Linked DNA regions of Anolis sagrei. The protein of the gene in region 1 binds, or shares a complex with, the protein of each later gene. Links are inferred from orthologs where the notes say so. Each region holds a gene or a part of one and is shown on either strand. Other genes may lie near its edges. The genes, in order: PLXNB1, SEMA4D and ARHGEF12.

Region 1 (7,181 bases):
CAGGTTCGAATCCGGGGAGCGGTGTGAGCTTCTGCTGTCAGCCCCAGCTTCTGCCAACTTAGCAGTTCGAAAACATGCAAATGTGAGTAGATCAATAGGTACCGCTCCGGTGGGACGGTAACGGCGCTCCATGCAGTCATGCCAGCCATATGACCTTGGAGGTGTCTACAGACCACGCCGGCTGTTCAGCTTAGAAATGGAGATGAGCATCACACCCAGAGTCGGACATGACTGGACTTCATGTCAGGGGGAAACTTTTACATATGTGTGTGTGTGTGTGTGTGTGTGTGTATACACACACACACACACACATAATATATATAGGCCCTCTGGGTCCAAAGATTCTCTGTCCATGGATTCAATGCCCCTTTGAAGGCAACCCTAAGGCTGATGTGCTCCTCGATGAAAATGAGTTCAACACCCCTGACTTACCCACTTTCATCATTTAACTGGAAATGGGAAAACAACAAAAAAAACTTCAGCCATCCCTTTCCTTTGAAATGGGAAAACAACAAAAACCTTCAGCCATACCCTTTCATCCTCAACCTTTGAAACATCTCTCCCACAGTGAAGCAAAGGGTGGCCAGTTTCAGGAAACCCCTTGGTCATAACCATGAAGGAACTCGCACTACAAAGAGCTCTATTTAGCAATCCAAGGCCACTGCTACAAAGTAGAGGAGCCCACAAGTGTTGTTGAGGCTTGGCTTTATTAGCATGGCATACGCCAGTTTCCGAATGCTTCCTAGAAATAAATTTGACATCCGCTCATGGGCTCTGAATATTAATTGAACAGTGGTTTTCTTTCAAACTTAGCAACACTTTGGGCTTTGAGGAAACTGGAAACAATTGCCTGTAAAAACTTATCCCGGAATTGTGGTTTCTTTAGAAGCTCCTTTTGCAAATTGGGGCTGGAGGAAGCGGGGTTTTACTGAGCTGTTTCTTTGGGCTAGTAAGGTCATTACGGCCTTGTGACTGAGGCCACTATTAGCCAAGGTCAAAGAATGTCCTTCTTTTGCATTTCACTCCCCAAAAGCCAACTTTGTGGATAGAAACCCTCTTTCTGGTCTTCCAGCAAAACTTGGGGCATGAAAAAGGAATCCCTAGAGATTCTTGGAATACAGCTATAGTCTTGCCTCTTGTTGTTTTTCTCAGCAGCTTTGCACAAAAAAAAAGGACTATTGAACCAATTCAAGCGCTCTCTGGTTCCCAGGTACCCGTAATGAGGAAACTAATTTCCATGTTCAATTTGGGAGAGCAAGCTGGACGGGGGACTTTTTGTAGTTGCTGGAAAGCTGCCTGACCTCTGGAAAGTTTTCAGCCACCTCCTCCTTGCCTTTTCGGATAGAAACCACTCTTTCGCTGCTAGCCAAGAGAGCCCCGATGCCAGCTTACATTCATCTTGTGAACCAGCAGGGGGAATCACTGGCACCAAACCAGCGGCAGGACATTTCTCAAATTAGAGCTCACTCCGACACCCACAGCCCTGCAATGTGTCTGCAGTTTTCACAGAGCTTGTTGGCGATACAGTTATAAGTAACATGGCCACTGTGATTGGAAGAGAAAGAGGTGAATGAATATGTAAGAAAAGGACATTTATAAAGTACCACAACAACATAGTGTTTGGGCGTAATGAGTAGTATTTTCTAGCTGCCTTTTCAAAAAAGTGATGAAGACAGTCTGGGGATCTGTGAAATGACAGGCAGCTACAGCAGGGTATGCCCATGCATCCCCATAATGCTCAGTGCTCGGCCTTTTCAAATCCTCCCCTTATGATATTTTCAAGTCATTTGTGGTTGAATCCATAGATGCATAATCCATAAATATAAATTTATGTATTTATTTATTTTTAAAAAGGTAAAGGTTTTCCCCTGACATTAAGTCCAGCCGTGTCTGACTCTGGGAGTTGGTGCTCATTTCCATTTCGAAGTCGACGAGCCAGCATTGTCCATAGACTCCTCCAAGGTCATGACTGCATTGAGTGCTGTTACCTTCCTGCTCGTGCATTACCTATTGATCTACTCACATCTGCATGTTTTCAAACTGCTAGGTTGGAAGAAGCTGGAAACTCACGCCGCTCCCTGGATTAAAAACTGCTTCGGTCAACAAGTTTAACCCACCGGGGGGGGGGGGGGGGGGGGTGTCCCACTTCATTTATTTATTTATTTGTTTGTTTGTTTAATGTATTTATTTACCACTCTTCTCAACCCTGGGAGGACTACAACATACTAGTGGCAAAATTCAAAGCCAGACATACATGTAAAAATTAAAAATATCTCAACAATAATTTTTTTTCATGTCAGCCCCCCATGGGTTATACTCTTGTGCCGGCAGGACTGCTGACCGACAGATCAGCCATTCGAATCCGGGAAGAGCAGCTTGAGCTACCTCTGTCAGCTCCAGTTCCCTTTATAGGAAGGATGGTAAAACATCAAAAACATCTGGGCGTCCCCTGGGCAATGTCCTTGCAGATGGCCTATTCTCTCACACCAGAAGCGACAACAATAACATATTCCCAGAATAACATATAACTATGTGTTAAAATAAATTAAGACCATTAAACATAACACATACACAACATTTAGATATAGCATTAAAACATCCTAGTATAAACTTTAAAATCACATGATCAAAATCATAAACCGTAGCCATTCCAAGTTGTCAATTGCACATGTTCCCCAATTAGTCTTAAACTGCATTATTTTACTGGCCAAAGGCTTGGTCCCACAACCATGTCTTTCTGAAAACCAAGATGGAGCGCACTGATCTTATCTCAGTGGGGAGAGAGTTTCACAGCTGAGGAACCACCACTGAGAAGACCCTGTCTCTCCCCACCACACTTGCAAAGGAGGTGGGACCAAGAGCAGAGCCTCTCCACAGAAGATCTTAACCTCCATGATGGTTCATAGAGGGAGATAGATTCAGACAAGCAGAGCCGGAACAGTTTAGGGCTTTATAGGCTAAAGCCAGCACTTTGACTTGTGCTCAGTAGCAAACTGACAGCCAGTTGAGCTGACGCAACAGGGGGAATTGTATGTTCCCTGTACACCGCTCCGGTGAGAAATCTGGCTGCCGCTCAGGGACACTTGAAGCTTCCAAACAGTCTTCAAAGGCAACCCCATGTAGAGCGCATTGCAGTAGTCTATTCTCCATGTAACAAGAGCATGGACCACCATGTCCAAGTCTGACTTCACAAGCTACAGGCGTAACTGGCTGGCGCACAAGTTTTAATTGTGCAAAAGCTCCCCTGGTCACCATTGAAACCTGGGAACCTGTAACCCCAACCAGCACAGACTGTAACCCTATACCCAGTTCATCCTTGCGACTGACCAGAAGTGTCTATGTCAATTTCAATTTCTTCGCCCTCATCCAGACTAAAAAAGCTAACCTTTTTACAGAACCATGATTCTTTACCTTTGTCCGCAGTTTCATCTGGAGTTATTTGCATGTTGCTGTTCTCCTGTTCATGCTGTAAAAACTATTCTGATTTTCAACCCAAATGGGCAACCAGCTTGGTGATGATGTCACTTCATATGTTTACTTTTGCTCACCTCTGGGATGCTCCAGGAGACTTAAAAACTTCTCCCCTTCCTTAAGCTTAAGTGGCTGAGGGGGGAAAAGGAAGGGGCCTGAGGCTGTTAGGAATTGTGGGAGTTGGAGTCCAAAAAATCTGGAGGGACCAAGTCCAAAACATTTAGAGGGGCCAAGTTTGCCCGTGCCAGGTTTAAACTGTATTTTGAAAATCCTCATAAATAAGGAATTGAGAACCCATCCCCTTAGCCACTGAGCCCGCTCTCCTTTCCCACCTCTGCTCCTTTTCTCAGCCTCTCCCAGTTTTCTCTGGGGTGAAGCTGCATTCTGGGCCCAGGCCTGGCAGCCAATGAATGGACCACACTGTTTGGGAATGAATGCTCTGAGCTGTGACAGACAGGCACTTGCTCTCAGTGAAAGCCCTGTCTTTACGCTGCTCCAAAGACATGGAACATACAAACACAGTTCTCCACTCCAGACCAAGATTGGGACAGGAAGAAAAGGCTACTTTTTTCCCAACCTTTCTTTTTAATGTGGCCCCCACTCTCCTCTCCTCTCCCCTCCGCCCCTCCCCTCCCTGTCCTTTAAATGAAGCTTGCAAGGGGACTCTGTACCAGGCTGAATGGGCTGCAGGCAAGGATTGGCTCCGGAGGAGAGGTACAAAGGGGATTAGTGTTTAAAAGTCATGAATGGATCAGAGCAAGGCAAGAAGTGTGTTTTTGGCTCCGTCTCCTAGTTACCAGTTTGGGATTTGGGTGGGAGAAAAAACTCTGCCCAAGTCTGGGAGCAGAGAAAATGTTTGTGTGACCGTGGCAGGCCAAAGAAAGTCCTCTGCTGTGAGATCAGTTTGTGTAATTTGGATCTCTCTTTTCTTTCCCTTGTGAGGGAATGGAAAGCCGGAAAAAAGGGCTTGAGTGAGTGCCTTTGCTATTTCGCTTGCATGTGTGGTGTTCTAAACGGAGATGGGACACCTTTGCGTTTATAGTGCAATCCTTTGTGACCTAGTTTTACCCACTCAACATATTTGACTGGGGTGCTTCTGTACAAAAGGCTTTTCCAGCTAGCCTTTTGTTATTTTTTGCTAGCTTGGATACCCAGCGTTGCCCAGGTTATTGGAAAAAGTCATTTTTTAAATTCTACAAAATGCATAAAGTCATGCCAGGTTAACCCCAAGAAACTCCATCAGTACTTAAAGTTTGTTATGTTGGTCAAGTTTGCTCTAGATATATCATCAGTGGGGTTTGGTGTGCTCTCTGGCTACTACAACTCCTACTATCGTGAGTCAGCCCCCTTAAACCCCTCCAGTAGGTTGAGTTAATCATAGGGGATCTGTGTGCCAAGTTTGGAACAGGTCTATCATCGGTGGAGGTCACAGTTTCTCTGGTTGTGGGTGAACTACAAATCCCAGAAAGGAAGGTCAGTTCCCCCTAAACCCCTGCAGTAATCAAGTTTCAGCATATCAGGTATGTGTGCCAAGTTTGGTCCAGATCCCTCAGTGTTTGGTTCAGATCCATTGATGTTTGGGTTCACAATGCTCTCTGGATGTAGGTGAACTACAAGTCCCCTAAATGAAGTTGTATTTTTCCCAAAGACCTCCAGTGGGTTTTTTTTTTGTTTTGGTTTTTTTGCTAGCCATGGGGGTTCTGTGTGCCAAGTGTGGTCCAATTCCATCTTTGGTGGAGTGCAGAATGCTAATTGATTGTAGGTTAACTATAAATCCCAGTACCTACAACTCCAAAATATCCAGGCCAATTTCCCGCAAAACCCAGCACCACCCCTCAGAGTAGGACACGACTTACTCTGTCAAGGGGAAACCTTTATCTATTTATTCCAAAGCAAGGGGGAACCTTTACCTATTTATTCCAAAGCAAATTGCTGTACTCTCCAATCGTCAAGTGTTCTTCCTCATTAAATAAGTTTGCCATCTTGATCACACTGTGATGTTGGTCGCCTTGGTAGATGATCTTCGCAGGGAACTGGACAGGGGGAGTGTGTCCCTGTTAGTTCTGCTGGACCTCTCAGCGGCTTTCGATACCGTCGATCACGGTATCCTTCTGGGTCGCCTCATGGATATGGGGCTCGGGGGCACCGCTTTACAGTGGCTCCGATCCTTCCTTGAGGGACGGACCCAGAAGGTGTTATTGGGTGACACCTGTTCGGCCCCACAACCGTTGTTGTGTGGAGTCCCACAGGGTTCAATTTTGTCCCCGATGTTATTTAACATCTATATGAAGCCGTTGGGAGAGATCATTCGGAGTTTCGGAATGAGATGTTATCTCTACGCAGATGATGTCCAAATCTGTCACTCCTTCCCACCTGTCACCAAGGAGGCTGTCCAGACCTTGAACCGGTGTTTAGCCGCTGTATCGGACTGAGAGCTAACAAATTGAAATTGAATCCAGACAAGACAGAGGTCCTACTGGTCAGTCGTAAGGCCGAACAGGGTATAGGGTTACAGCCTGTGTTAGATGGGGTTACACTCCCCCTGAAGACGCAGGTTCGCAGCTTGGGAGTGATCCTGGACTCATCGCTGAGCCTGGAACCCCAGGTCTCAGCGGTGGCCGGGAGAGCTTTCGCACAATTAAAACTTGTGCGCCAGCTGCGCCCGTACCTTGAGAAGCCAGATCTGGCCACGGTGGTCCACGCTCTTGTCACATCCCGGCTGGATTACTGCAACGCACTCTACGTGGGGTTGCCTTTGAAGACTGCTCGGAAACTACAATTAGTCCAGCGAGAAGCAGCCAGATTGCTCACTGGAGCGGCGTACAGGGAGCATACAACCCCCTGTTGCGTCAGCTCCACTGGCTGCCGATCCAATTCCAAGTACAATTCAAAGTGCTGGTTTTGACCTACAAAACCCTATACGGTTCCGGCCCAGTGTATTTGTCCGAACGGATCTCCCTCTACGTCCCACCTCGAAGCTTAAGATCTTCTGGGGAGGCCCTGCTCTCGACCCCGCCACTGTCACAAGTGAGGCTGGCGGGGACGAGGAGTAGGGCCTTCTCAGTGGTGGCCCCCCACCTGTGGAACTCACTCCCCGGGGAGATTAGATCGTCATCTTCCCTTTTGGCGTTTAGGAAAAAACTGAAGACCTGGATCTGGGATCAAGCCTTTGGTCATTCTGACAGCTAACTGAAGGATCTGATGTTAGACAAGGACAAATGGAATGGAATGGATATATGGACTCTGAACCCTGAGCATGAGACTGTTTTATTGTTTTTATTATGTACTGATGTTTTTAATTAATTGTTGAATTGTTTGTATTTGTATTGTTTGTGAATTGCCTTGGGCATCTAATTGTGCCCCCATTGTAAGCCGCCCTGAGTCCCCCTCGGGGTGAGAAGGGCGGGGTATAAGTAAATGAAATAAATAAATAAATAAATAAATAAATAAAATTGTTGGCTACACATGTCCTGACGTCTTGTGTGAAATGTTCAAAAGGATGCACAATGGTGTCACCAGGGTTGGTCTCAACCAGTGTGGGAACACACTTTGTCATATCCATGGACTTCCTCCCACAGCAGACCACATCACAATACTACAGATGAAATACCAGAAAAATGGAGAAAATTAGCTTCTCTAAAAACAATCAGCAACAAAAACAACAGTTCAAGCTTATAGCGCCTGCAGATGAAACAATGTAATTTGAAGCA
Region 2 (8,066 bases), about 210 Mb from region 1:
AACCTGCTCAGGCACTGGGATCAGTGGAGGGGACCCTCCCCTCGGTCCCACCTTATCCTAAGTGCGGCTGGTGGGAACAAGACAGGGAGACTTCTCTGTGGTCGCTCCTTCCCTCTGGAACTCCCTCCCTAAAGAAATTACAACAGCCCCTTCAAGAAACAACTAGAAACCTACTTTTGTACGTTAGCCTATGGAGAGGAAGACTAGTTTACCATCGATCCCACCTCATCTGACAATGTTGACAATTACCATAACTTATTGAAGAGCTATATTTTTATACATATTTTAACTGTTCAATGTGATATTTATGATGTTTGACTGATTTATATGTTTTAGCCAAAGTGTTTAATTTGTTTATTTTGACCATAACTGTTTGTTTTAATGTTTTATTATGTTATTGCACATGGCATTGAATGTTTGCCATTTTTCGCCTTTGGACTCCGCCCTGAGTCTTCCAAATAAAGATTATTATTAAAAATAACATTAAAATAAAGATTATTATTATTTGATACATAACAAGATTAGTACACAGCAAACAAGATCACTATACTGGCTTTTGTATTTGATCACATGTCGGATATTTCTCAAGTGCCTAGGACTGTATAATGTATCGGCAAATAATATGTGGAGACCCAAGTAGGGTGACCTTTTGCAGCTGATAGATGGCAATTTTGTCAGCGCTGATTGTTTTTAAGTGCTGGCCAAGGTCTTTAGGCACTGCACTCAGTGTGTCAGTCACCACTGGGACCACCTTTCCTGGCTTGTGCCAGAGTTTTTGCAGTTCGGTCTTTAAATCCTCATATCATGTAAGCTTTTCTAGTTGCTTCTTGTCAATTCTGCTCTCACCTGGGATTGCAACATCGATGATTCATACTTTGTTTTTTCCCCCACAAACATGAGGTCAGGAATATTGTGCTCCAAAACTCTGTCAGTCTATATTCGGAAGTCCCAGAGTAGTTTGGCATGTTCATTTTCTGTAACTTTTTAAGGTTTGTGATCCCACCAGTTCTTTGTTACTGGTAGATGGTATTTTTGACATAAGTTCCAATGGATCATCTGAGTAACGGTATTATGCCTCTGCTTGTAGTTCATCTGCACAATCTTCTTGCAGCAGCTGATGATGTGATCCATCATTTTGTCTGCTTCCTTTTAGATTCTACACTTGGATTCTGGAGTCAACTTTTCAGTTCTGGCTTTGATGGTATTTGTTCTAATTGCTTGTTCTTGGGCTGCAAGAATCAGGCCCTCAGATTCCTATTATTGTTGTTGTTGCATTGTTGTTGTTGTTGTTGTTGTTGTTATTCTTATTATTCTTATTCTTATTATAGTATTACGATTTCCAGCATCTTCTAACAATTGCATTTTCTGTCCACTGTACAAACTAAAGGCATAGAGACCAGGAAGATGAGGATGTGGAGCAAATACCTGTGGATACTACGATTCCACTCTACTTCTGACTGATCATTCCAGTTGAAGTTACAGAGATGTTTTGGTGATAAAATTTTGTCAACTCATGGCAAGGGTGTGAATCCTCTTAGTCTTGGAAAAGTTGTGAGTTCCCTTTGTCCTTCCCTTGTGGGGTCCATGGGGAGGCAGTCTCTTTTAGATGAATTTTGGTTTAGCACGTGTCTTGCCATTTGTTGTGAAGATCCAAAATTTTGCACAGATCATCACCATAATCATCGGATGCTGGAGTCCCTATTAATAAAACGGTGTAGGGCACCAGTGGAGGTGGCAGCAAGTATTTGAGGTGATGGTTATGGGGCTTCAGCTTATTTGTTCACAAGGCAGAATCAAGTGACTGACTAGCAAGTGACTTGTAGCCAAAGGTTGACACCACCTTTGCTTTGAATCCAAACTTGTCTGAAACTGCAGATCCTGAGCTCAGAGATATGGTGGGTCCACACTATGCTACCTGATCTCACACTACAACCCCATCTAATACTGTTCATTCAAAGTTAGTGTCAAACTGTGGTGGCCAGACAACAAATTCCCACAGAAGTGTGTAAAAGAACTCCCTAATGTGCATCAGTGCTCTGGCTTGTATCATCACTATCCAGGCCTCAGACTTGTTCCACTATTTCCCTGCTGAAAAGGAGCATGTTTCAAACAATGAACCGAGCTAGACACAGCATATTATGTGAGAACACAGAAATGCTGGACCACTCAAACAGCTACCATGTCAGACTACACAGAGAAGCCATAGAAATCCACAAGCATGTGGATAATTTCAACAGAAAGGAGGAAACCGGAAAATGAACAAAATCTGGCTACCAGTATTAAAACACTCTAAATAAATAACAACATTCAAAAACAGGGGAACTCCAGACAGGAAACTATCAAGGCCAGCTAACACCTCCCAACAAAGGATCCTCCAGGCAGCAACCAGCCAAGCTTTGAAGCTGCAAGGTCATTAAATGCTAATCAAGGTGGCCAATTGTAACATTCACACTTGCCTCAAGCAGACAAGAGTTTTTTCTCCCACCTTGGACATTCCACAGATATACGTATAAACCCCACTTGCCTAGTTTCCAACAGACCTCTCATCCTCTGAGGATGCCTGCCATAGATGTGGGCAAAACATCAGGAGAGAATGCTTCCAGAACATGGCCATACAGCCTGGAAAACTCACAGCAACCCGGTCCTCGATATCCACAGATTGTGCAGTCATTAATTTCACCATTCCTTGCTTGACTTTAAAAAACAACAACACAAAAACACTGTTTTACTATAGTATTCTTTATCAAGGGACTAGAGTATTCACTGAGTTTGGTATCCACTAGGGGTCCTGGAGCTAAATTCCAGCAGATCCCAAGGCCTACTATAGTGTCGTAATATTATTTAAAAAAGAGAACCAATGTCTTTAAGAGTGTTTTATAGACACAGAGTTCTAGTTGTTAGTCTCAAATAGAATAGTCCCATTGACATAGGGTGTATCTACACTGCAAAACCAGTGCAGCTTAACACTTCTTTAACTGTGATAGCTCAATGCTATGGAATCCTGGGATTTGTAATTTGGTGAGGCAGAAGCACTCTTGGCCAGGGAAGGCTAAAGTCTTTGTTAAACTACAATTCCCAGGACACCATAGAATTGAGCCATGGCAGTTAAAGTAGTGTCAAGCTGCATTAATTGTACAGTATGGATGCACCCTTAATGTTTGACTGGTGAGTTGACAATAGGTAAATCTCAGTAGCTTTATATGTTCATGCTATGATTTTTTTCCTGTTTGTAATTTAATACCAATGAATAACATCCCCAAGAGGTAGGAACTGAAAAACCTAGATTCCATCTACATTGACCATTTAATGCAGTTCGAATGAGCTTCAACCTGCAGCAACGAGACAGCAAACGGTTAGGGAAAACTAACCTAAAATATAGCAGAGCATCCAAAAGCAAACAGGGCACAAAAGTTGAGCTTCAGCTCATTACTGAGCAAAGTGTGATGTGGCTATAAAGAATTTAGAGCTTAGGCAGGCAAAGATACAGAGTCCAATCTTAAAAATCACAAAAGGCTTCTCTACAATAATAAGGAACTAACTACATATCTTCATGGTAAAGAACTGGGTCTGAGCTACTCTAACACCCATCTCTTCTAAGGATTCAAAGAGTGGGAAAAACACAGAGAGAGATCTCAAAGCACACAGCACACAGCACATTCAAAGATGTAAGAAACAGAAGTCAGATTTTAAAAGACTTGCAATAGAAAAGTATCAATTTCACACACCCAATCAGAATGGGAACAGAAACAGAGGACAGAAGAAATAGTTACATTCCTACATTGGCTGTCTTCAGAAAGAACCTGAAGACCTGGCTTTTCTGATGCGCCTTCCCAGATTAGGAAATCCCCACTACCAAGTCCCATAAGCACTTTATCAGAACCAAGGATTGCTGCACATCGCACTTGCCCTAGAAGCCCTTTATACACCTCCTGTCACATCAGCACTTTTAATCTTTGTACCCACCCTCTGGCCCAGCCCAGTTTTATTGTTTTTTAGTGTATTGTGCCTGTTGTTTACTTTGCTTTACTTTGTTTTTAATTGTTTGATTTGCTTAGATTGTATTATTATGTTGTGCGTTGAGGCCTCGGCCTGTGTAAGCCGCATCGAATCCTTTGGGAGATGCTAGCGGGGTACAAATAAAGTTTAATAATAATAATAATAATAATTCCCAACTGTCATACAGGAGACATGGGGGAAGGGACATCCTTAGTCCATACTAAACTAACTGCTCCTCATTGAAAACTTCAGACTTGGGCAGTGTGGGGTTGAATTCCAACACAAACTCCCACAAAAGTGTGTAAAAGTGAGTCATTTAGTGCTCTGTGGTTTCTATCACCAGACTAGTTCCTGTTCAAGTAGTCCCTAGTCAAAGTGGTCCCTGGTCAAGTGGTCTCTGGTCACAGTGGTACCTAGTTAAAGGGGTACCTGTTCAAAGTGGTCCCTAGTCAAAATGGTCCCTGTTCAAGTAGTCCCTGATCGAGGTAGTCCCTGGTCAAGTGGTCCCTAGTCAAAGTGGTCCCTGGTCAAGTAGTCCCTGAACAAGTGATTACTGTTTAAAGTGGCCCCTAGTCAAGGTGGTCTCTGGTCAAAAAAAGGTTGGGAACCACTAGTGTAGATGGCCTTCAAGAAGAAAACAATTGCTAAGAGGCAGAGAAAGAGTGCAGCTATGGTGCTGAAGTCATGCAGTTGGACATCGCTTTAACTGCCATGCTGTAGGATCATGGGGATTGTAATTTGGCAAGGCCTTTCGCCTTCTTCTGTGCCAATGAGTGCTGGTGCCAAAATCCCAGGGCAGCTAAAGTGGTGTGAAACTCCAGTGCGTAAATGCCCCCAATGCCTCCTGGAAGATAGGCGAGAGCAGCCACCCCAGCCTCCCTCCACGTGGTGCAGAGGCTTCGCAACCTGCAGGGGCCGTGTTTCGGTTTCGTGGGATATTTCCTCCACCAACCGGGAGCCTTTTAGTAAAATATTCCTCGAGGGTGGGAGGAGGGTGGGTATAGATGGGGAGGGGGCGCCTTCCCGCTGGAGAGAAACCACGAGACCCCACCAACCAGCCTTTGCTGCTGCTGCTAATCCCACCAGCAGCCCACCTCCCTCCTCCTCCCTCTCCCTTTGACTGAACTCTCGCTTTCCTAAAGCCTTCCCCTTTGGAAAGCGCCCGCCTGGGGCTCCCCTCCCTTTAGCTGGAGCTGGTGGATTGGCGTGGTGTGTGTGTGTTTGTGTGAACGCGGATCGCTTTGCCTCCTCCTCTTTCTCCTGGTCTCTCTCTCTCTCTCTTTTTCTGGCAGCCGCCATAACTGCGGGGGCAACCCAAACTTGCTCCAGCCTGGCACCGCCAACTCCTCCTCCCACCGATCGCCTCTTTCCCTTTCCACGCGGGCTCGTGGCAGCGAGAGAAAAAGGAAAGGGAAAATAAAGAAGTTGTCGAGCAGCAATCGCAGCAGCAGCAGCAGGTAGGAAGCCTTTGCAGGCAGTGGCTCCACTTTGCGGCAGAGGATTGACTCGGGAGGAAAGAAGAGGCAACAAGGTGGCCTTCTTCCCCCTATATTTGCTTCTCCCGGGTTTTGGTTCGGCATTGAGAGAAAGGTGAGGGGTTTGGGGGGTGGGTCATCGGGTTGGGGGTCCCATCCCCTCCTCTTCGGATCGTGGGAACCGGGAGAGGTTGCAATATCAAATGCAATACACTGGGCGCGGGGCTTGCTGCAGGGACTCGGATTTGGGTAAAGGGGGGAGGAGATGGAGGGGTGTTTTCAAGACAGATTTCTGATCTGCAGGCAGGGAAAGAGATGCAAGTGGGGAGGGTTAAATGGGGGGGGGGTCTCCTTTTCCTCTCCTTGAAATGGGGGGTCTCTCCTTTGGATCCTTCAAATGGGGCTCCCACTCCCTCCCCTTCAAAGGTTTGTCTCTTCCCTTCAAAGGAGAGGGGGTCTTTCCACTCGATATGAGGATCTCCCCTTGAAATGGGGTGCTCCCCCTCCCCTTAAATCGAGGGTCTTCCTCCTCTCTTTGGACTCCTTTAGCCTTGTCAATAAGGGGGGCACCAATGGTTGTGTTGGTGGGAAAGAAGCAGGCGCATTGTGTGTGCTTGTTGTGTGTGGCTGGACTGCTGTGGATGGAGTCTGCCTTGCCTTTATTTCTCTGCCTTACTTTCCCCCCTCCCCTGCTTTGGCTAGAAGAATGGCCTTGGCTGCCCCTTTCTCCCTCCTTCCTTTTCGACCCTCCCCAATATGTATATATGTACTAGCCTTCCCCTGCCACACGTTGCTGTGGTCCAGTATGTGTATGTGTATGTGTGTGTAATAGGTGTGTGTGTGTGTTTTGTGTTTATATGTGATTTTGCGCATGCGTTGTAATGTATTTTGGGGTTGTTTTTTTTTTGGTTTTTTTTTTGCTTTCTAAGTCTCTTCTGCTGTGTTTTTCAGTGTTTTTATGAGTGATGGTCACTTGTTGGCTGCTACATATATTGTGTCCAAATTTGGTGTCAAATCATCCAGTGGTTTTTGAATTATGTTCATCCCACATATACAATTTTTCTGGCACCCACTGCCCCTTTGTGTACAAGACTTCAATATTGCAGTGTTGAAGTCTTGTGAGCTTCCACTGTTGCACTGCCATGATTTCAGAAGGAATCAAGTCTAGCTTTGGGTGCGTCTGCATGGTGGAATCTATGCAGTTCTGCACCTCTTTCACTGCCATGGCTCCATTTGTAGTTTGGTGAGGCAACAGCACTATTTCTCCCCTCCCCGCAAAAGGCTAAAGACCTTGCAAAAGTACAGGTGTGTCTACGGGCCCTTCCACACAGCCATATAACCAAGATTATATGGCAGTGTAGAAGAGGGTTCAGATCCATCCTGTAATAACCCATATAATTCAAACAGCATTATATGGCAGTATAGATTCAGCCTTAGTTGTCAGAGCCAGTGGCGATGAATTCTGGGAAACGCAGTTCAAAAACACATGGGCTCCTTCCACACAGCCATATAACTCAGAATACCAAGGGAGGAAATCCCACAATATCTGCTTTGAACTGGGTAATTTGAGCCCACACTGCCATATATCCCACTGCAAAGCAGATAATGTGGGATTTCATTTTGGTGTGTGGAAGGGGCCTACACTGCAGTTCTGACACAATTTGAACTGCTGTGGAATTCCAGGCAGAAAATGATCAAGGCCAGCTAACACCTTCCAACAAAGGATCCCCACCCAGGCAGTAAGCAGCCTGGCTTTGAAGCTGCAAGGCTATTCAGTGCTAATCAAGGTGGCCAATTCGCACTTGCATTGCAGTTCTTTCCACAGATATATAAACCTCACTTGCGTAGTTTCCAACAGAACTCACAACCTTTGAGGATGCCTGCCATAGATGTGGGTGAAACGTTGGGAGAGAATGCTTCTGGAACATGGCCATGCAGCCTGGAAAACTCACAGAAACGTAGCAATTCCGGCCATGAAAGCTTTCAACTATACATGGGAGATGTAGTTTGATGAGGCACTGTTTGGCAGGGAAGGCTGAGGACTCTGTGAAACTGCAACACCTCTGAGTCTTTGGCAATTAGCCATGGCATTTAAAATGCTGTCAAACTGCACTGATTTTACAGTGAAGTAGATCCAGAATACAACTCCCAGGATTCCATAGCAATGAGCGATGGCAGTGAAAGTAGTGCCACACTGCATTCATTCTACAATGTAGATGCACCCTTTGTAACCCATTTCTTGGATGTTTTCAAAGGAAACTTGACATAGGGAGGAAAGGGCCAGAGGGGTCGCCTTTAATTATTGTGGGGAGTCTCCTGTGGGAAGAGGAAAAATGATGAAGGAAGGTGTGGGAGGGACAACCTGTCAAAAGGAATGTTTTTGAACTTGAAAGGGATGCAATCGAATTAAAATTTAATCCAAGTTGGGAGCAAAAAATTAAAATTTAATCCAGATTGAGGGGAGACACTCCTTTGCCTTTAGTGCCAATATTTATATTAATATCGGTCCATGGGACATGATAAATACCCTAAAGGCACCAGATCCAATGTGATCTTGGAACCTAAGCAGGGTCAGCCTTGGTTAATACTTGGATG
Region 3 (7,439 bases), on another chromosome or scaffold:
TGTGAACAAGATTAAGAAAGTCACCAGTTGATTCAAAGCCTTGAAGTATTTGTTTGACTTATTGAAGACCTAAGCACTAATAAAGAACTTTGTTAAACTTTCCAAGTTTCTAAGTTTCCAAGACTTTGTTTAGGGAAATCCAAAAGGCCTCTAATCTGAGGCACCCCCGGCGTCCCGTTGGGCATACAGAATACGTCCTGTCTACAGACTCTTTCACAGGCCCAGTGCGTGACAGCACAATTATTTATGAATGGTCTATGGTCATAATGTAAATAAACACATTCCTGAACCTCTAATAGTTTTCTTCTCTGCAGAATTATTATAGTTTGACCACAGTTTAACTGCCATTGCTCAGTGCTATGGAATCCCAGGAGCTGGAGTATTCCAGGGCTTTTAGCCTTCTCTCCCAGAGTGATGGTACTTCATCCAATGACAACTCCCAGGATGCCATAGCATTGAGCCAGGGCAGTTAAACTGGGATCAAAATGCATTCATTTCCCAATGTAGATGCACTCTAAGAGTAATTACTTATTTGAATTAAAGTAAAGGTAAAGGTTTTCCCCTGACATTAAGTCTAGTCATGTCCGACTCTAGGGGCTGGTGCTCTTCTTCACTTCTAAGCCGAAGAGCCAGCGTTGTCCATAGACGCCTCCTGGGTCATGCGGCCAGCATGACTGCATGGAGCATCGTTACATTCATTTCCCAATGTAGATGCACTCAAGGAGTAATTACTTATTTGAATTATAGAAAAGGTAAAGGTTTCCTCGTGACATTAAGTCTAGTCGAGTCCAAGCCTGGGGTTGGTGCTCATCTCTATTTCTTAGCCAAAGAGCTGGCATTGTCCGTAGTCACCACCTAGGTCATGTGGCCAGCATGACTGCATGGAGTGTTGTTACCTTCCTGCTGAAGCGGTACCTATTGATCTATTCACATTTGCATGTTTTTGAACTGCTAAGTTGGCAGAAGCTGGGGCTAACAGTGGGAACTCACCCTGCTCCCTGGATTTGAATTGATGACCTTTTGGTCAGCAAGTTCAGCAGCTCAGCGGTTTAACCTGCTATGTCACTGGGGGCTCTCATTTGGATTATAACTTTCAGAATTTTCCAGGGAACATTGCTGAATGATCATCCAAAGACCTAGTTTTCCAAGCTCTGGCTGATACCCTTTACAAATTTGTCTATATTTTGTAACAAAGACTTGTAGCAATGAGTTCCACAGGTTTACATGCAGCGCAAAGAAGTTATTCTCCCATTCATCAACCATAAGCCTCCTGAGTGTCACTGGGTGTTCTTTGTATTAGAAACTAGGCACACATTTATGTCTGTTATGCAGAATTTCTGCCATTCTGCTCACTGCTGCGAAACAAGGAGAAACCCCTTCATGGCAACTGTGCCTTAACAATGATAGATTATTGCATTAGAGCTGAGCTCTGACCATAGATTTTCTGGCAAGATGAAATAAATGAGCTTCCAAACTGTTGTTGCTTTAGTTTATTCAGGTGTTTTTCCCTCAGAGAGGGGAAGTGAAACTCAATACAATGTTTGCAGTCCGTTCATCTTAAGTGGCTGCCGATCAATTTATGGGGTGTTTAGTCTGGGATGTTGCACTTTATGCTCGTTCTTCTCCCTGAAGTCGATAGATTGACTTTTGTCCTGTTTTGCAAAATGTCTGGAAGTGATTTCCAAGAGAACAAATTTTGCAAAATAATAATGATGATGATAATAATAATAATGTTGACACGATATGAGGATTTAAAGATCAAACTGCAAAGACTCTGGCACAAGCCAGTAAAGGTGGTTCCAGTGGTGATCGGCACACTGGGTGCAGTGCCTAAAGACCTTGGCCTGCACTTAAGCACAATCGGTGCTGACACGATTACCATCTGCCAGCTACTGGGATCTGCATGCATTGTTCACTGATACATCACATAGTCCTAGACACTTGGGACATGTTGGATGTGTGATCCAATACAACAGCCAGTATAGTAATCTTGTTTGCTGTGGACTCATCCTGTTGTGTTTCAAATAATAATAATAATAATAATAATAATAATAATAATAATACGTCTCTGGGTTTAAAATCGTTGCCACTTTAACATCTTGGCATACATATTTTAAAAGTTTTCCAATTCTTCTATTGATCTTAAGGGGGAAAATAAACAGAATACGCACACTATTCAAACATGTCATAACATCTGTGAATAGTCAAATCTCCTAAAGTAAAAAACAAGGAGGGTTAACTATATTTGTCCTGCGACATTTCAAATGAGTTGATTTCGCAACCACAGACAGAAATAGGAAAAACAATGGCAGGGCACAGATTGGGTTGCTGTGTGTTTTCTGGGCTGTATGTCCATGTTCCGGAAGCATTCTCTCCTGACGTTTCACCCACATCTATGGCAGGCATCCTCCGAGGTTGTGAGGTCTGTTGGAAAATAGGAAAATTGACTTTATGTATCTGTGGAACAATGTCCAAGGTGGGAGAAAGAACTCTTGCCTGTTGGAACATACTGTCTCCAATGTCTTTCTTTGGCACCAAATATTGCAATACCAGGAGCTTCCTGAAGGTGGCAGCACTTTGCATATGGCGCTTGGGTTGCAATTCTCTCCTAAGTGGGACTTACTCCAATGTAGACAAGGATTCAGCCTCCAAAATAAGTCCAGCACCTTGGAGAGGCCTCTATTTCAGACTATGTGTGGCATCTCCCTAACTCTTCTCCAAAAACACAATGCAATTCGATTTCCCATTTCATATTGCTCCTTAAAGGAACTTTCCCCCCCCCCCGCCCTCCTTTATCGGCCTATGGCGGAAGCGGCAACGCATGTGCTGTGACAGGAAGAGTCGAGGCGGAGCAAGGGAAGGGCGTGACGCGTGCCGACGCGGAGGGATCCTCCCGAAGGGGAAAAAAGGGAGGGGGAGAGGAGAAAAACGAGTCCCGGCATCTCCGGAAAAGCCCGAAGCCTTCCGAGTGAAAGCCTGAAGTAAGGGAGCAGAGGAAGCAGGCGGAAAGGAACGAGGCGGGGCGATTAAGAGTCGGAATTACCGGAAAACTCCGAAGATAGCCGAGCTGAGTCGAGAGAACTCCGACTTACAGAAGTAGAAGGGGAACATGAGGGAGCGAAAAATGAATCCGGAAAAAGCCGGAGATAGCCGAGTGTGGCCGAACTAAGAGGCATAAAGTAGAAGGGGAAAGAAATGTGTGTGTGTGGGGGGGGGTAACGTTCGGGAAAAGTCGGAAAAATCCGAAAGTAGCCGAAGTGAGTCGAGCAAATTCTTGAAGGAATGGAAGCGGAGGAAAGAGGCGAAAGGGAGAAATGAGTTCGGGAATTGCCGGAAAATCCCGAAGGTTGCCGAGTATTGAGTCGAGCGAAGAGGCATAAAGGGAAAGTGGGGGGGTTCGGGAATATTCGGAAAAGTACGAAAGTAGCCGAACAGAGTCGAGGGAATTCCTGAAGGATTAGAAACGGAGGAAAGTGGGAAATAAGTCCGGGAATCTCCGGAAAAGTCCGAAGGTAGCCGAGAACGAGTGAGAACGAACCGCTGTGTAAAGAAGCCGAAGGGGGAGAAGGAATGAAGTCCGGGAATTACCGGAAAAGCCCGAAAGCAGCCGAAAACTGAGTTGAGCGGAGAGGCATAAAGGATCGGGATGGGAGGAGGAGGAGGGGTTACGTTCGGGAATTTCCGGAAATACCCGAAGGTTGCCGAATACTGAATCGAGCGAAGAGGAATAAAAGAAAGGGGGGTACGTTCGGGAATAGTCGGAAACCGCCGAAAGTAGCCGAACAGAGTCGAAGCAATTCCAGAAGGAATAGAAACTGAGGGAAGAGTCGAAAGAGGGAAATGAGTTCGGGAATTGCCGGAAAAAACCGAAACGAGTGAAGCTAAGAAGTGGAGGAAGAAAGGGGAAGAGCGGGAGCTGAAGAAATCCGGGAATGGCCGGAAAAGCCCGAAAATAGCCGAGTGCAGATAATGACTGAAATAAAGGGGAAAAAAATACTAATTGACTCGGGAATGTTCGGAAATACCCGAAAGTTGCAGAGTAAAGGCAGGGGGGACGTTCGGGAATAGTCGGAAATCCCCGAAAGTTGCCGAATAGAGTCGAAGCAATTCCAGAAGGAATAGAAACTGAGGGAAGAGTCGAAAGGAGGAAATGAGTTCGGGAATCTTCGGAAAAGCCCGAAGGTAGCCGAGAACGAGTGGAGGAAAAAAGGGGAAGAGCGGGAGATGAAGAAATCCGGGAATGGCCGGAAAAGCCCGAAAATAGCCGAGTGGAGATAATGACTGAAATAAAGGGGAGAAAAAAACTAATTGACTCGGGAATGGCCGGAAAAGACCGAAAATAGCCGAGTGGAGATAATGACTGAAATAAAGGGGGGGGGACACAAATTGACTCGGGAATGGCCGGAAAGTCCCGAAGATACCCGACAGGAGCCGAAAGCGAGTGGGGCGAATCCCTGAAGTGAAGAAGAGGCTGGGAAAGGGGAGGGAACGTCCGGAAACACCCGAAAGTAGCCGAGCGGAGCCGAGCCGGGGCCTGCCTGAGGGAAGCCGGCGGGGCGGAGGGGGGAGCAGCGCTGGCCTGAGGAGAAGCTCTTCAGGATCCGGAGAGGAGGCCGGAGCGGGGCCTGCGGAGGAGACCAGGCCGAGGAAGAGAAGGAGGAGGAAGGCCAGGCCAGGCCTCGCCACATTCCTCCGGCGGGAAGGAGAAGGAGGAGGAGGAGGAGGAGGAGGGGGCGAAACTAAGTCTCCTCCTCAGGCCCGACGTCGAGGGAGAAGGGCCGACGGGCCTGAGGGGACTTCGGCCGAGAAGCAGGAGGAGGACAGCCACCCCCAGGCTCGGGACCCCCCTCAGGAGGCACTTGGAGGCCTGGAAGAGAGACTCCAAGGGGGAAAAAAAGGAGGAACCCGACCTCAAAGGGGAGCCACACAACTACCCATCCACACTGCCCTCGAGGGTGGCTCCTTTCTGCACCCCTTTTTCGTCAGGAGCAGAGGAGAAGGAAAGGAAGCACAAGGAAGGCTCGAGGAGAGAGGCACAGACCCGCAGACAGGTATACACACACAGAAACATACCTGCAGATGCAAACACATCCATCCATCCATCAAGTGCTGCTTTGACTCTTCTTTGCAGCCCTTTTTCCCTCAGGGCCAGAGGAGAAGGAGGAAGAAGAAGGAGAGGGATCAAGAAGGCTGGAAAAGACACACACACAGATACAAACACAAAACACATACACAAACCTAGACACACGTGAAACACATACATAAACCTATTCACACACACAAATACAAACATAAAACACATACATAAACATAAACACATACCACCCCACACATACATACAGATACAAACATAAATACACAAACACATACCTACACGCAGATACACACACATACAGATACAAACATAAAGCACATACCTACACACAGACAAAATACAAACCGATACAAACATTAAACACATACATGAACACACACAGATACACATACATACAGCTACAAACATTAAACATACTCAAGCACATACCTTCACGTACATAAACACATACCTTCACACAGATACACACACATACAGATGCAAACATAAAGCACATACCTACACACAGACAAAAATACAAACAGATACAAACGTTAAACATATAAACATAAACCTATACACAGACACAAATACAAACATAAAACACATATATAAACATAAACACATACCACCCCGCAAACACATACATACAAATACAAACCTAAATACATAAACACATACCTACATGCAGTTACACACGCATACAGATACAATCATAAACACACACCTTCACTCAGGTACACGCACATACAGATACAAACATTAAACACATACATAAACACATATCTTCACGCAGATACACATACATACAGCTACAAACATTAAACATACTCAAGCACATACCTTCACATACATAAACACATACTTTCACGCAGATACACACACATACAGATGCAAACATAAAGCACATACCTGCACACAGACAAAAATACAAACAGATACAAACATTAAATACATAAACATATACCTTCACACAGATACACACACGTGCAGATACAAATATAAAACACATACATAAACATAAACCTATACACAGACACAAATACAAACATAAAACACATATATAAACATAAACACATACCACCCCACAAACACATACTTACATACAGATACAAACATAAATACATAAACACATACCTACACTCAGGTACACGCACATACAGATACAAACATTAAACACATACATAAACACATATCTTCACGCAGATACACATACATACAGCTACAAGCATTAAACATACTCAAACACATACCTTCACGCAGATACACACACATACAGATACAGACATAAAACACACACATAAACACATACCTACATGCAGACCCATACATACAGATAACAAACATAAAACACATACATAAACACATACCTACATGCAGAGACACACACATACAGATGCAAACATAAAACACTTTCTTAAACACAGACACATACAGATACAAACATAAAGCAGATACATAAATACATACCTTCACATACACACATATAGACATAAATATTAAAAAAATACATAAACACAGCCAGGTGCAAACATTGACACAAAGACATACATCCAGGTACATATATGTACATACTGATACAAGCATAAGCATACACACTCAAACATATACATATATACACACAGGGCCCAACACGGCTGTGACTTCGTTTTTCTTTTTGCCTTTTCTCCAGGACAAGAGAGGAAGGAAGGAAGGAGGGGAGATCTAAAGAAGGCCGGAGGCAGGCCAACAGATTCCACATTCTTGTGTGTCAACTCCGGGCTTAGAGAAGAAAGAAAGAAAGACGGGATGTAGAGGAAGACACACACACACTCCATAGAAAGCGTGGCTGTGATTTCTTTACGCACCCCAAAAACAGGACCAGAGGAAGGAGGCTGTGCCATCGCAGTCCACCTTGGAATCCAATTCTGGGCCTTTATTTTGTTGCCTTTGCTTCTACGACTCGGCCTGGAGATGAAAGAGAGAGACGGGATATCAAGGCAGGTGGAGGCTTGAGAAGGCCACAGCCCTATTTTTTCCCCTTTTCTTTGCCCCAATTTTCATCCAGGACAAGAGGAGAGAATTCAGTCTAACTCAGAGATTTCGCTTAGATATTTCCACTACTTTCCCTTTTCTCGGTGGGGACAAAAGAAGGGGGGGGGGGCTGCTATTTTTGTATGTTTTTTCTAGATAGATACTTGATTCTCTATAGGAAGGGGCTGTTTTCCTGTTGACAACCCCACCCTCAGCATCTTTTCTTGACAATCCCATATAGAAACAGTAGTATCTATTTCCCTCTAGCCTGTTAAGGGTAGATAGTAATATAAATCCTTAAAAGGGAGGGCAAATCAATCTTTGGTGAGCAAAGCATTAGAAACCGCTCTGC

Evidence for each region.
Region 2: the proteins of PLXNB1 (region 1) and SEMA4D are in contact, whole or in part, in a crystal structure (PDB 3OL2), measured with the Homo sapiens proteins. The link is inferred for Anolis sagrei from reciprocal best matches to the Homo sapiens genes PLXNB1 and SEMA4D. Residues at the interface, in NP_001123554.1 of Homo sapiens: Leu80, Pro81, Pro82, Glu87, Arg136, Pro137, Gly138, Asp139, Thr140, Tyr142, Gly178, Glu202, Lys205, Ala207, Gly209, Arg210, Ser212, Glu213, Arg235, Arg242, Asp359, Val360, Asn361, Ser362, Leu367, Pro368, Thr371, Tyr375, Ser379, Asp380; in NP_001358123.1 of Homo sapiens: Glu99, Lys100, Gly101, Phe158, Tyr179, Phe181, Leu182, Gly183, Ser184, Arg198, Tyr201, Ile203, Glu208, Val240, Leu264, Arg265, Thr266, Leu267, Gln268, Lys270, Thr347, Gln350, Ser351, His352, Thr353, Asp388, Gln392, Lys395.
Region 3: the proteins of PLXNB1 (region 1) and ARHGEF12 are in contact, whole or in part, in an NMR structure (PDB 2OS6), measured with the Homo sapiens proteins. The link is inferred for Anolis sagrei from reciprocal best matches to the Homo sapiens genes PLXNB1 and ARHGEF12. Residues at the interface, in NP_001123554.1 of Homo sapiens: Glu2129, Lys2131, Val2132, Thr2133, Asp2134, Leu2135; in NP_056128.1 of Homo sapiens: Phe82, Gly83, Leu84, Thr85, Val86, Ser87, Gly88, Asp89, His127, Val131, Lys135.

The regions. Positions count from the first base shown.
Region 1 is NC_090022.1:26,207,942-26,215,122, forward strand, and holds the start of PLXNB1 (plexin-B1), read left to right. Parts: upstream 1-4,147; 5' UTR 4,148-4,185; intron 4,186-7,181. UniProt on the Homo sapiens protein: Receptor for SEMA4D. Plays a role in GABAergic synapse development. Mediates SEMA4A- and SEMA4D-dependent inhibitory synapse development. Plays a role in RHOA activation and subsequent changes of the actin cytoskeleton.
Region 2 is NC_090022.1:234,407,923-234,415,988, reverse strand, and holds the start of SEMA4D (semaphorin-4D), read left to right. Parts: upstream 1-5,020; 5' UTR 5,021-5,453; intron 5,454-5,465; exon of another isoform or gene 5,466-5,586; intron 5,587-8,066. UniProt on the Homo sapiens protein: Cell surface receptor for PLXNB1 and PLXNB2 that plays an important role in cell-cell signaling. Regulates GABAergic synapse development. Promotes the development of inhibitory synapses in a PLXNB1-dependent manner.
Region 3 is NC_090027.1:37,523,958-37,531,396, reverse strand, and holds the start of ARHGEF12 (rho guanine nucleotide exchange factor 12), read left to right. Parts: upstream 1-4,380; 5' UTR 4,381-5,051; intron 5,052-6,746; 5' UTR 6,747-7,439. UniProt on the Homo sapiens protein: May play a role in the regulation of RhoA GTPase by guanine nucleotide-binding alpha-12 (GNA12) and alpha-13 (GNA13). Acts as guanine nucleotide exchange factor (GEF) for RhoA GTPase and may act as GTPase-activating protein (GAP) for GNA12 and GNA13.